Linked DNA regions of Callithrix jacchus. Each later gene encodes a partner of the first gene's protein in a complex. Links are inferred from orthologs where the notes say so. Each region holds a gene or a part of one and is shown in the gene's direction. Other genes may lie near its edges.

Region 1 (4,339 bases):
CATCAGTGGAAAACTAATTGGGAACTCTTGCTTCTCCCATTTCCCCCTAAAACCCATCCAATCAGTCTCAGTGTGAGGATGAAGCTGAGGGAAAGACAAGGGATAAAATTTGGGACTCACAGGCTTCTATTCTTACCTATTCTTCTCCAGAGAGGCAAATTATCCCTTCTTCCCGAGGAATCATTGCCACACACACTCTCTTTCCCCTCTCTCTGCACCCCTCCCCTCCACTGAAGCTGCTGCCATGGTTGCCAGGCATGGTTGCTAAGTCTCTGCATGGAAGGATTGGCGTGGGCTGTGCTGCCACTAACATTACCATGGTGAATCAGGGGACACCTGGTATAAGCTTAGGGGGAGGGATCATGTGGATGTAAGCAACAGCCCCCCAGGATAGAGGCAGCCCAAAAGGTGAGCATCTGGAGCACCACTTCAGGTGGGGGCTGAGTGAACTAGGCATCGTGGTGGTAAGGGGGAGCTCTACATTGGAAAAATAAGGGCCACTTTTGTCATTTCAGTTGCTAGGGGATTAGTTTTGCCAAGCAAACACACCATTCCTCCTCCATCCCCCTCTGGAAGGGTGAGAGTGCATACTCATTTACTCTGTCCTCCATAAAGCTGAGCAGAGCTGTGTGGGCACAGAACACTATAACCCCCACATCCTGGCGTCTGGACTCGGGGTGAAAGCCTGCTGCTGCGGGACGGCTCCCTGGCTGCTCAAGGACAAACATGTAGAATGGGACTGGGAGGGCAGCTTGGGTGGCCAAGGTAGGTGCCTGTGTCCTGCTGTACCAGCAGTCCTAGGGGCAGCACTGAGCTGGTGAGGAGATAAGGGTGTAGGGGTCAACCTTTTTGAGCTTAGGGAAGGCAGCTCTCCCCCAAAGTCGCACAAAAGCCTGGTGAAAGCCACCGCCTCCTCTCTCCACCGCATGGGAGCTGGTTACTCATCTCATCTCTGTACCCGAACAGCCACTGCCGCTAAAAATAGCCCCCCAGCCGTGGGCCAGCCCCTCCTGCACCCCAACCCCATGGAAACCAGCAGAGTAGCAGGCAGAGACCTTGAGTTCCATTCTCACCACTCCGTTTTGGGGAAACTGAAATCTGAGGCAGGAAGCCAGGGGCAGAACCCTGGCGGTCAGGCAACCTGACAGGCAGAGGAGTAAAGGGTTAAAACGGCAGGAAGGTTGAAGAAGTAGGGGCGGGGGAGGGGGCACTGTCAGCTTGTCAAGAATCATAAGTCCCTCCCCCGCCCACTCGTGCGATCCCATCAGGCTTGGGGGACAACAGCAGTGGGAAGGGGCGTCCAATCCCGGGCCCCAGGGGGCGGCCGTGCACATGGGGGAGGTAGCAGCGCGGAGCAGCCCGCGCGGTGTCACATGCGCGCGCACACACAGAGACAGGCACACACACGTGTGCCCGGGTATATATAGTTCCCAGTCCCCGGGCCCGCGGCTCTGCAGTGGTCGCCGGCTCCCTGGGCTGGGAGGGGGCTCCTGGGGCGGGTGGGAGGGTGGGGGGCCGGGGTGGGGTGGGGCAGGATGCTGGATGGCCCACTGTTCTCCGAGGGGCCTGACAGCCCCCAGGAGCTCCAGGATGAGGAGTCTGGCAGCTGCCTTTGGGTGCAGAAGTCCAAGCTGTTGGTGATCGAAGTGAAGACTATTTCCTGTCATTATAGTCGCCGCGCCCCTTCTCGACAGCCCATGGACTTCCAGGCCAGCCACTGGGCTCGCGGGTTCCAGAACCGCACGTGAGTGAAGCAGGGGTGAGGGGAAGAGAGTGGTGGGGCGGGGAGTGGGGTCCGGACCTCCCCGAAGGCACTAGCGAGCATTGCTGGTCCCCTTTCTCTTTCCCACGCCTCTCTCCCCTGCCCCCTCCCGAGGGCTGGGGCCTGACTCATCCGGTTGTTTGGGGGAATAGGAGTGGGCGTGAGAAAGGGCAGGAGGTGAGATGGGGCAGACGCTGTTAAAGTGTGCATGGAGAGATGGCGAGGAGTCCCACTTCGACTTCAGTCCTAACATATACGCACGTGCACACGCGCACACACTCACACACACCCCTTCTTATGGCTGCCCCAAGCGGTCTCCAGTGTTCCCAGCTCCCCGGACCTCGGCTCCCTTCCCCCACAAACTGCTCACCTGGGTTCCTGCTCATTGTCCCAGGTGTGGGCCGCGCCCGGGATCCCCACAGCCGCCGCCCCGCCGGCCCTGGGCCTCCAGGGTGCTGCAGGAGGCGACCAACTGGCGGGCGGGGCCCCTGGCCGAGGTCCGAGCTCGGGAGCAAGAGAAAAGGAAAGCGGCGTCGCAGGAGCGGGAGGCCAAGGAGACAGAGCGAAAAAGGCGCAAGGCTGGCGGGGCCAGACGGAGCCCCCAGGGTCGGCCCCGCCCGGAGCCCCGAAACGCCCCTCGGGCGACCCAGCCGGCGGGGCTCCCTGCACCCTCGCGGCCGGAGCTCCTGGCACAGGTGGGGCGAGCGCCCCGTCCATTCGCGCAGCCGCAGAGCGACCCAGGGTCGGCGTGGGCGGGGCCCTGGGGAGGTCGGCGGCCGGGGCCCCCAAGCTACGAGGCTCACCTGCTGCTGAGAGGCTCTGCCAGTACGGCCCCGCGACGCCGCTGGGACCGGCCGCCACCCTACGTGGCTCCACCTTCCTACGAAGGCCCCCATAGGACCTTGGGGACTAAGCGTGGACCCGGGCACTCCCAAGCGCCCGCTTCATCAGCCCCAGCTCCTACTCCCTCCAGGACAGAGGGAGGGCGCATGAAGAAGAGGCTGGATCCTCGGATCTACCGGGACGTCCTCGGGGCTTGGGGTCTCCGACACGGGCAGGGTCTCTTGGGGGGATCCCCAGGCTGTGGAGCAGCCAGAGCAAGGCCAGAGTCCGGCAAGGGGTTCGTGGAGAAAAGCCTGGGGCTGGCTGCTGCTGACTTGAACAGTGGTAGAGACAGCCATCCCCAAGTCAAAGCTACAGGGAGCCCAGGCACCGAGACAGCTCCTGCGGGGTCTGCAACTGCGGCTCCCAGTGCCCCGCGTCCCGCTCCCAGGTCCAGGCACCACATCAAGGGCTCGAGGGAAGGGAAAAAAGGAAGAGAACAGATCTGGTTCCCCAAATGCTGGATTCCCTCCCCTAAAAAGCAGCCGCCCCGCCATAGCCAGACACTCCCCAGACCCTGGGCTCCTGGAGGCACGGGATGGAGAGAATCCCTCGGTCTTGGAGAGGGGGCAGGACCAGAGACCCTGGAGTGTTGGAAGGCGACCCGCCGTGCCCACACCTTGCCCCGCAGTTCCCAGGGCCCATCCCGTGGGGAAGGCGTCTTTGTCATTGACGCCACGTGCGTAGTGATACGATCCCAATATGTCCCAACCCCCCGAACCCAGCAGGTGCAGCTTTTGCCCTCTGGGGTGCCACGCGTGGTAGGGGATGTCCCCAGCCAATCGAAGCCCGGCAAGGAGGACAGTGAACGGGCCACAATCTTTCCTTCCCCTTGCCAAAAGCTGCCGTCAAGCAGTCACCTTTTACACCAGCCTAGCGAGGGCGGCGGGGGAGAAGCTGAGGGCGGGAGGCCGGGGGACTCCTCACTGGAGGAGCGCACCTTCAGCATCTTGGGGCTCCCGGCCCCCGAAGTAAACCTGCGGGACGCCCCCACGCAGCCAGGTAGCCCAGAGCACCAAGCCTTAGGCCCAGCAGCTTCGGGAGCCCGGAGCAGAGCCGAGGGCTCGGAAGTGGCGGTGGTCCAGCGGCGCTCAGGCCGGGGCTGGGCGCGGACCCCAGGGCCCTACGCCGGGGCCTTGCGAGAAGCCGTGTCCCGTATCCGCCGCCACACCGCCCCTGACTCGGACACTGACGAAGCTGAGGAGCTCAGCGTCCACAGCGGCTCCTCTGATGGAAGCGACACAGAAACCCTGGGCGCCTCCTTGCGGAACGAGAGGACCCTGCCCGGGGTTGGAAACAGTCCGCCAGAGGAAGGTGGAAAGACAGCGGAACTGAGTGACAGGGTCGGGGAGATTGTAGACGTCGTCAGCGAAACCGAGGAGGTCCTCTTCGGGGTGAGGGACATCAAAGGGACCCAACAGGGAAATAGGAAGAGGCAGTGAGGGGCCCCTTCTTGTATTCGTGACCCCAACACATCCATCCTTGGGTCCACTGGTCCCCATTCTTCCCCACAGATTTCCTTTACTTCTTTTTTCCTTGTATCTTTACCATACCTGGTCCCATCCTCGACATAGAAATGAAAGAAAGGGAAGCATATACCCATTCATGATTTTGTTTCAGGAGAGGTGAGAGTGAGCAGTAGATTTAATTAATGCCTGCCTGCCGTGTTCAGGGCACTAGGGTGTGCTCTTCGCA
Region 2 (3,618 bases), on another chromosome or scaffold:
TATGTCAGCATAAAATGTCCTGTATATGTCTTCTGTCATTTCTGCAAACATCTTGGGAGTCTTTCTCTAGGTTCCCAGTCTCTCAATCCAGGACCAACTCTAAACAGTGCAGACTCCGGTTGCTACACTCTATCAGTGAATTTATTTCACGTTCATCCTGTTGGATATGGCAAATTTGCAAAGCTCAGATGATGCTCTTTTCTTCACCACTCAGTAAAAATTTCATTTCTTGACCACTTATTTTTATGCATCAAACTCACCTCAAAGAAACACAGTAGACCAGAAAGCCAGTGCACGTTCTAGTTCTTTTGGCTGAATCATGCATCATGTAAACAGAATAGCATATGATGGACCCTTTGAGAACTCAGCACTTGTCACAGAAATGTGTGTTGTACACAGGCCAGCCCAGTCTGGAGCCTGACTGCGTGCTGGGTGAGGCACTTGACTGTAATCAGATAAGGTGACCCTTAATCTCCTGCTCTCTCTAGAGCCATACGTATGGCCTTTAAAATGACTTTGCCCCACTGTTGTCCTAATTTGAAATTTTCTTTTTTAGCCACATAAATAGAAGAACACAGTTTGAAAATCCTGTTCTGGAAGCAAAAAGGAAGCTACAGCAACATAACATGCCCCACACAGAACTTGGAACAAAGCCCCTGCAGGCCCCAGGTTTCCGAGGTATGATACCTGTCAGCATGTGATGTTTCAAAGGGAAAATTATCTGTCAAACTGCCTGCTCTTCCAAATATGTCTGTAGCTTGGACCATTTTGAAAAATTGATTGCTTTCTCCAGACCCTTCTATTAGCTTTAGCTGGATTTGCTAAATTCTCTCTAAACTAATGCCTTTAGCAACCACAGATGAAGTTAAAGCCTCAGGCAGTACCTTGTAGGAATGTACAGCATGCCGCCAGGTAGAGATGAAGGGATTTTGATAGTGGCACTGTAAACTGCAGAGATTCATAGAGACTCATAAGTTTGTCCTTAAAAGACCAAGCACAAGAATGAGGCTTGTTCTCCTTTGTGACAGTAGACAGCTCCTCATCGACATTACCTAGGCCCAAACTCATCCGCCCCCACGCTGCCCCGGAGAGGTCGCGCAGCGTGGATGACTTGTCTTACCATCAGCGCGACCCAGCAGGGAGGCCCTGGCTGTTCGGTATGTCCCAGGGCTGCTTGCGGGACTACACCTGGGAGCCACGTAGTGGGATGAGTTGCTGCACAAACTTTTCACAGCTAGTGGGCTAAATAAAAGCACCAAAGAGCCTTTGGAGTCGGGAGGTCTAGTCTTGCCTGCTAATTTTCACGCCATATACTACAGCATAATTAAATGAATGTAAAGGTCTCCTGATGAACTTCTCTCCAATTATAAACATTCGTTTGATAAAGAAAACACAGAAGAAAAGATTATCTATGGTTTTTATGTTTTAAAGAAGCTCTGTTTTTAATAAAGATACACGTGACATGTAAGTGAACAGAAAAAGTAAAAGTCTAAGAGAATGACTCATTTTTTTAGAGTTGATTACATACCACCCAAAATGTAACAAGAAAAGGTATCATGCAGAATACTTAACTGAGTTTCCATGTATGATTTGGCTATTACAAATATTAAATCAGATCACCTAAATATAACATTTTTAAAGAATCATGTAAAATATTTATCTGTGAAGGAATTTAAAGCAGATATTAATTCCATTTCCTAGTGTGACTGTTATTTTTAAAGCACTTATTATGCTTAGGAATATATTTATTACAGATTGTAGCTGGAAAAGCATATTATATAATCAATTAGCAGGTAAATCTATATGACTGCTTATTCAGATTATTCAGGCAGTTGTATGATTTGAATCTATCAACATATTGTTACAAAATGTGTTACCTTTACATTCATAATTATATCTAAAAACATTGGCTTGCCTTTTGCTCACATTTTAGAGTATACTAAACACTATGGGAGCCAATAGCAATTTATATATCTGGTTATCTTCATAGTATCTCACAATAGAGGGGTGTAAACAAAAGTCAGTCCCACATACAGGTACTCTTTCTAAGCAATCTGGACCTTTGAGTATGTGATCACATTCCACTGCTTATCTGTTTGCTATACTGTATATGCTGAAATGTTGTGCTCTCATTCACTTAAAAAAATCACAAGTCCATTTCATTTTTTTACTCTTATTTCTTCAAGGCTTAGTTTAGGACTGGCCACTGACACATACCTCCTACCTGGAATCTTTCATAACAAGAGGAACAGATCCAGATGTGTCTGGATGATTTGAGCTCCTTGTTCCTCTTTCTCTGAAGGCTCTGGCCGTCTGTTGACACAGCCTTTTTTAAGCCCAAGAAGGCCAAATTAATGAATGGAAACTGATTTGACAAAAAGTCTGTCTCCAAACCAAACAGCTTTTTCATCTTTCCCTGGATGCTTGGGACTGCTCTTTACCTGTAGGAAGTTCTAATAGTTTTGCTCCTCTTGTAGTCACCACCTGCTTGCATTTGCTAAGACCCCCACATTCACCCCGGGGATTGTTGCTGCTCGGGGGCTGGCTTTCTCTTGTCTGAGAACTTACCTTGAACATGCCTTTTTCTTTTTTAACTTATATTGGCCAATGTAGAAAAACCACTCTTCACCCGGGATGCATCCCAGTTGAAGGGAACATTCCTCAGCACCACCCTAAAAAAGAGCAACATGGGTTTTGGATTTACCATCATTGGTGGAGACGAGCCTGACGAGTTTCTGCAGGTGAAAAGTGTGATTCCAGATGGGCCTGCAGCACAAGATGGAAAAATGGAAACAGGTAAGGTCCTTGATGCTTTCGAAAATTGTTTTGCAAATTTTTTTTTTCTAAAGGCAAATATAAGGAGCTTCTTTTGTGTTTTTATTCAAAAGACAAAGGTCACTTCAGTTTACGAAAAGCATAAAGTATAAATTATGTTTCCCTAAGTTAAAAAATATCAAGTTGAGTTAATTTGGAAACAATTTTGAATATAATTTTTGCCTTATATTTTTAGACTGCCCCTTCTGTTTGCTGGCTTCAATGGACTCTTGAGATTGACACTTGTCTAATTTATATCTAGAGTTTGTTCTTAGGAGTGTAATTAACATTTCACACTTTTCTAACTTATATTCAGCCACAATATTTTTAAATCTGTGTTAATCTTTTAATGTTCTCATGTTAAATCATCCAGGTTAGTTATTGAAATATACATGCTCATCTTATAGAAAAAATTTTAAACTGGTGTAAGTTGGTATAGGTCCCCATACAATGTTTTACTATATGGGTATTTTCTAGTCCTTAAAAATTATTTTTCATATATAATTACTCAGATGTCTACTCAAATTATAATTGAAATTTATTTCATGTGGAAATACAGAGGCAAATTGCTAAGGGCAGGAATGTATAAAATATGAAAATTATACAGAGTAAATGAAAAAGTAATGAACGAGGTTTGGTTCACAGTCTGATTTTAAATTTTCTTGCCTGGCCCATAATCTTGGATAAGTCCCATAACTTATAAATATTAATTTCCTTATCTAGAAAACAATGAAGAAATTAAATTGGACCTTATGTATTTTAAGTGCTGATTCAAGGTTTTCATCGTGTAATTTTTAAATGCCT

Evidence for each region. Proteins that work in one complex are often made in the same cells at the same time.
Region 2: the proteins of DDN (region 1) and MAGI2 are in contact, whole or in part, in a crystal structure (PDB 6KKG), measured with the Mus musculus proteins. The link is inferred for Callithrix jacchus from reciprocal best matches to the Homo sapiens genes DDN and MAGI2. Residues at the interface, in NP_001013763.1 of Mus musculus: Asp222, Arg223, Pro224, Pro225, Pro226, Tyr227, Val228, Ala229, Pro230, Pro231, Ser232, Tyr233, His237, Arg238, Thr239, Leu240, Gly241; in NP_001164217.1 of Mus musculus: Glu308, Met309, Ala310, Tyr311, Thr312, Glu313, Gly315, Tyr318, Ile320, Asp321, His322, Lys325, Thr326, Thr327, Ser328, Trp329, Asp358, Tyr361, Tyr364, Val366, Asp367, His368, Arg371, Arg372, Thr373, Gln374, Phe375.

The regions. Positions count from the first base shown.
Region 1 is NC_133510.1:70,561,122-70,565,460, forward strand, and holds the start of DDN (dendrin), read left to right. Parts: upstream 1-1,447; 5' UTR 1,448-1,535; coding exon 1,536-1,744; intron 1,745-2,132; exon of another isoform or gene 2,133-2,156; coding exon 2,157-4,086; 3' UTR 4,087-4,339. UniProt on the Homo sapiens protein: Promotes apoptosis of kidney glomerular podocytes. Podocytes are highly specialized cells essential to the ultrafiltration of blood, resulting in the extraction of urine and the retention of protein.
Region 2 is NC_133512.1:71,716,725-71,720,342, forward strand, and holds part of MAGI2 (membrane-associated guanylate kinase, WW and PDZ domain-containing protein 2), read left to right. Parts: intron 1-556; coding exon 557-678; intron 679-1,028; coding exon 1,029-1,157; intron 1,158-2,613; coding exon 2,614-2,796; intron 2,797-3,618. UniProt on the Homo sapiens protein: Seems to act as a scaffold molecule at synaptic junctions by assembling neurotransmitter receptors and cell adhesion proteins. Plays a role in nerve growth factor (NGF)-induced recruitment of RAPGEF2 to late endosomes and neurite outgrowth.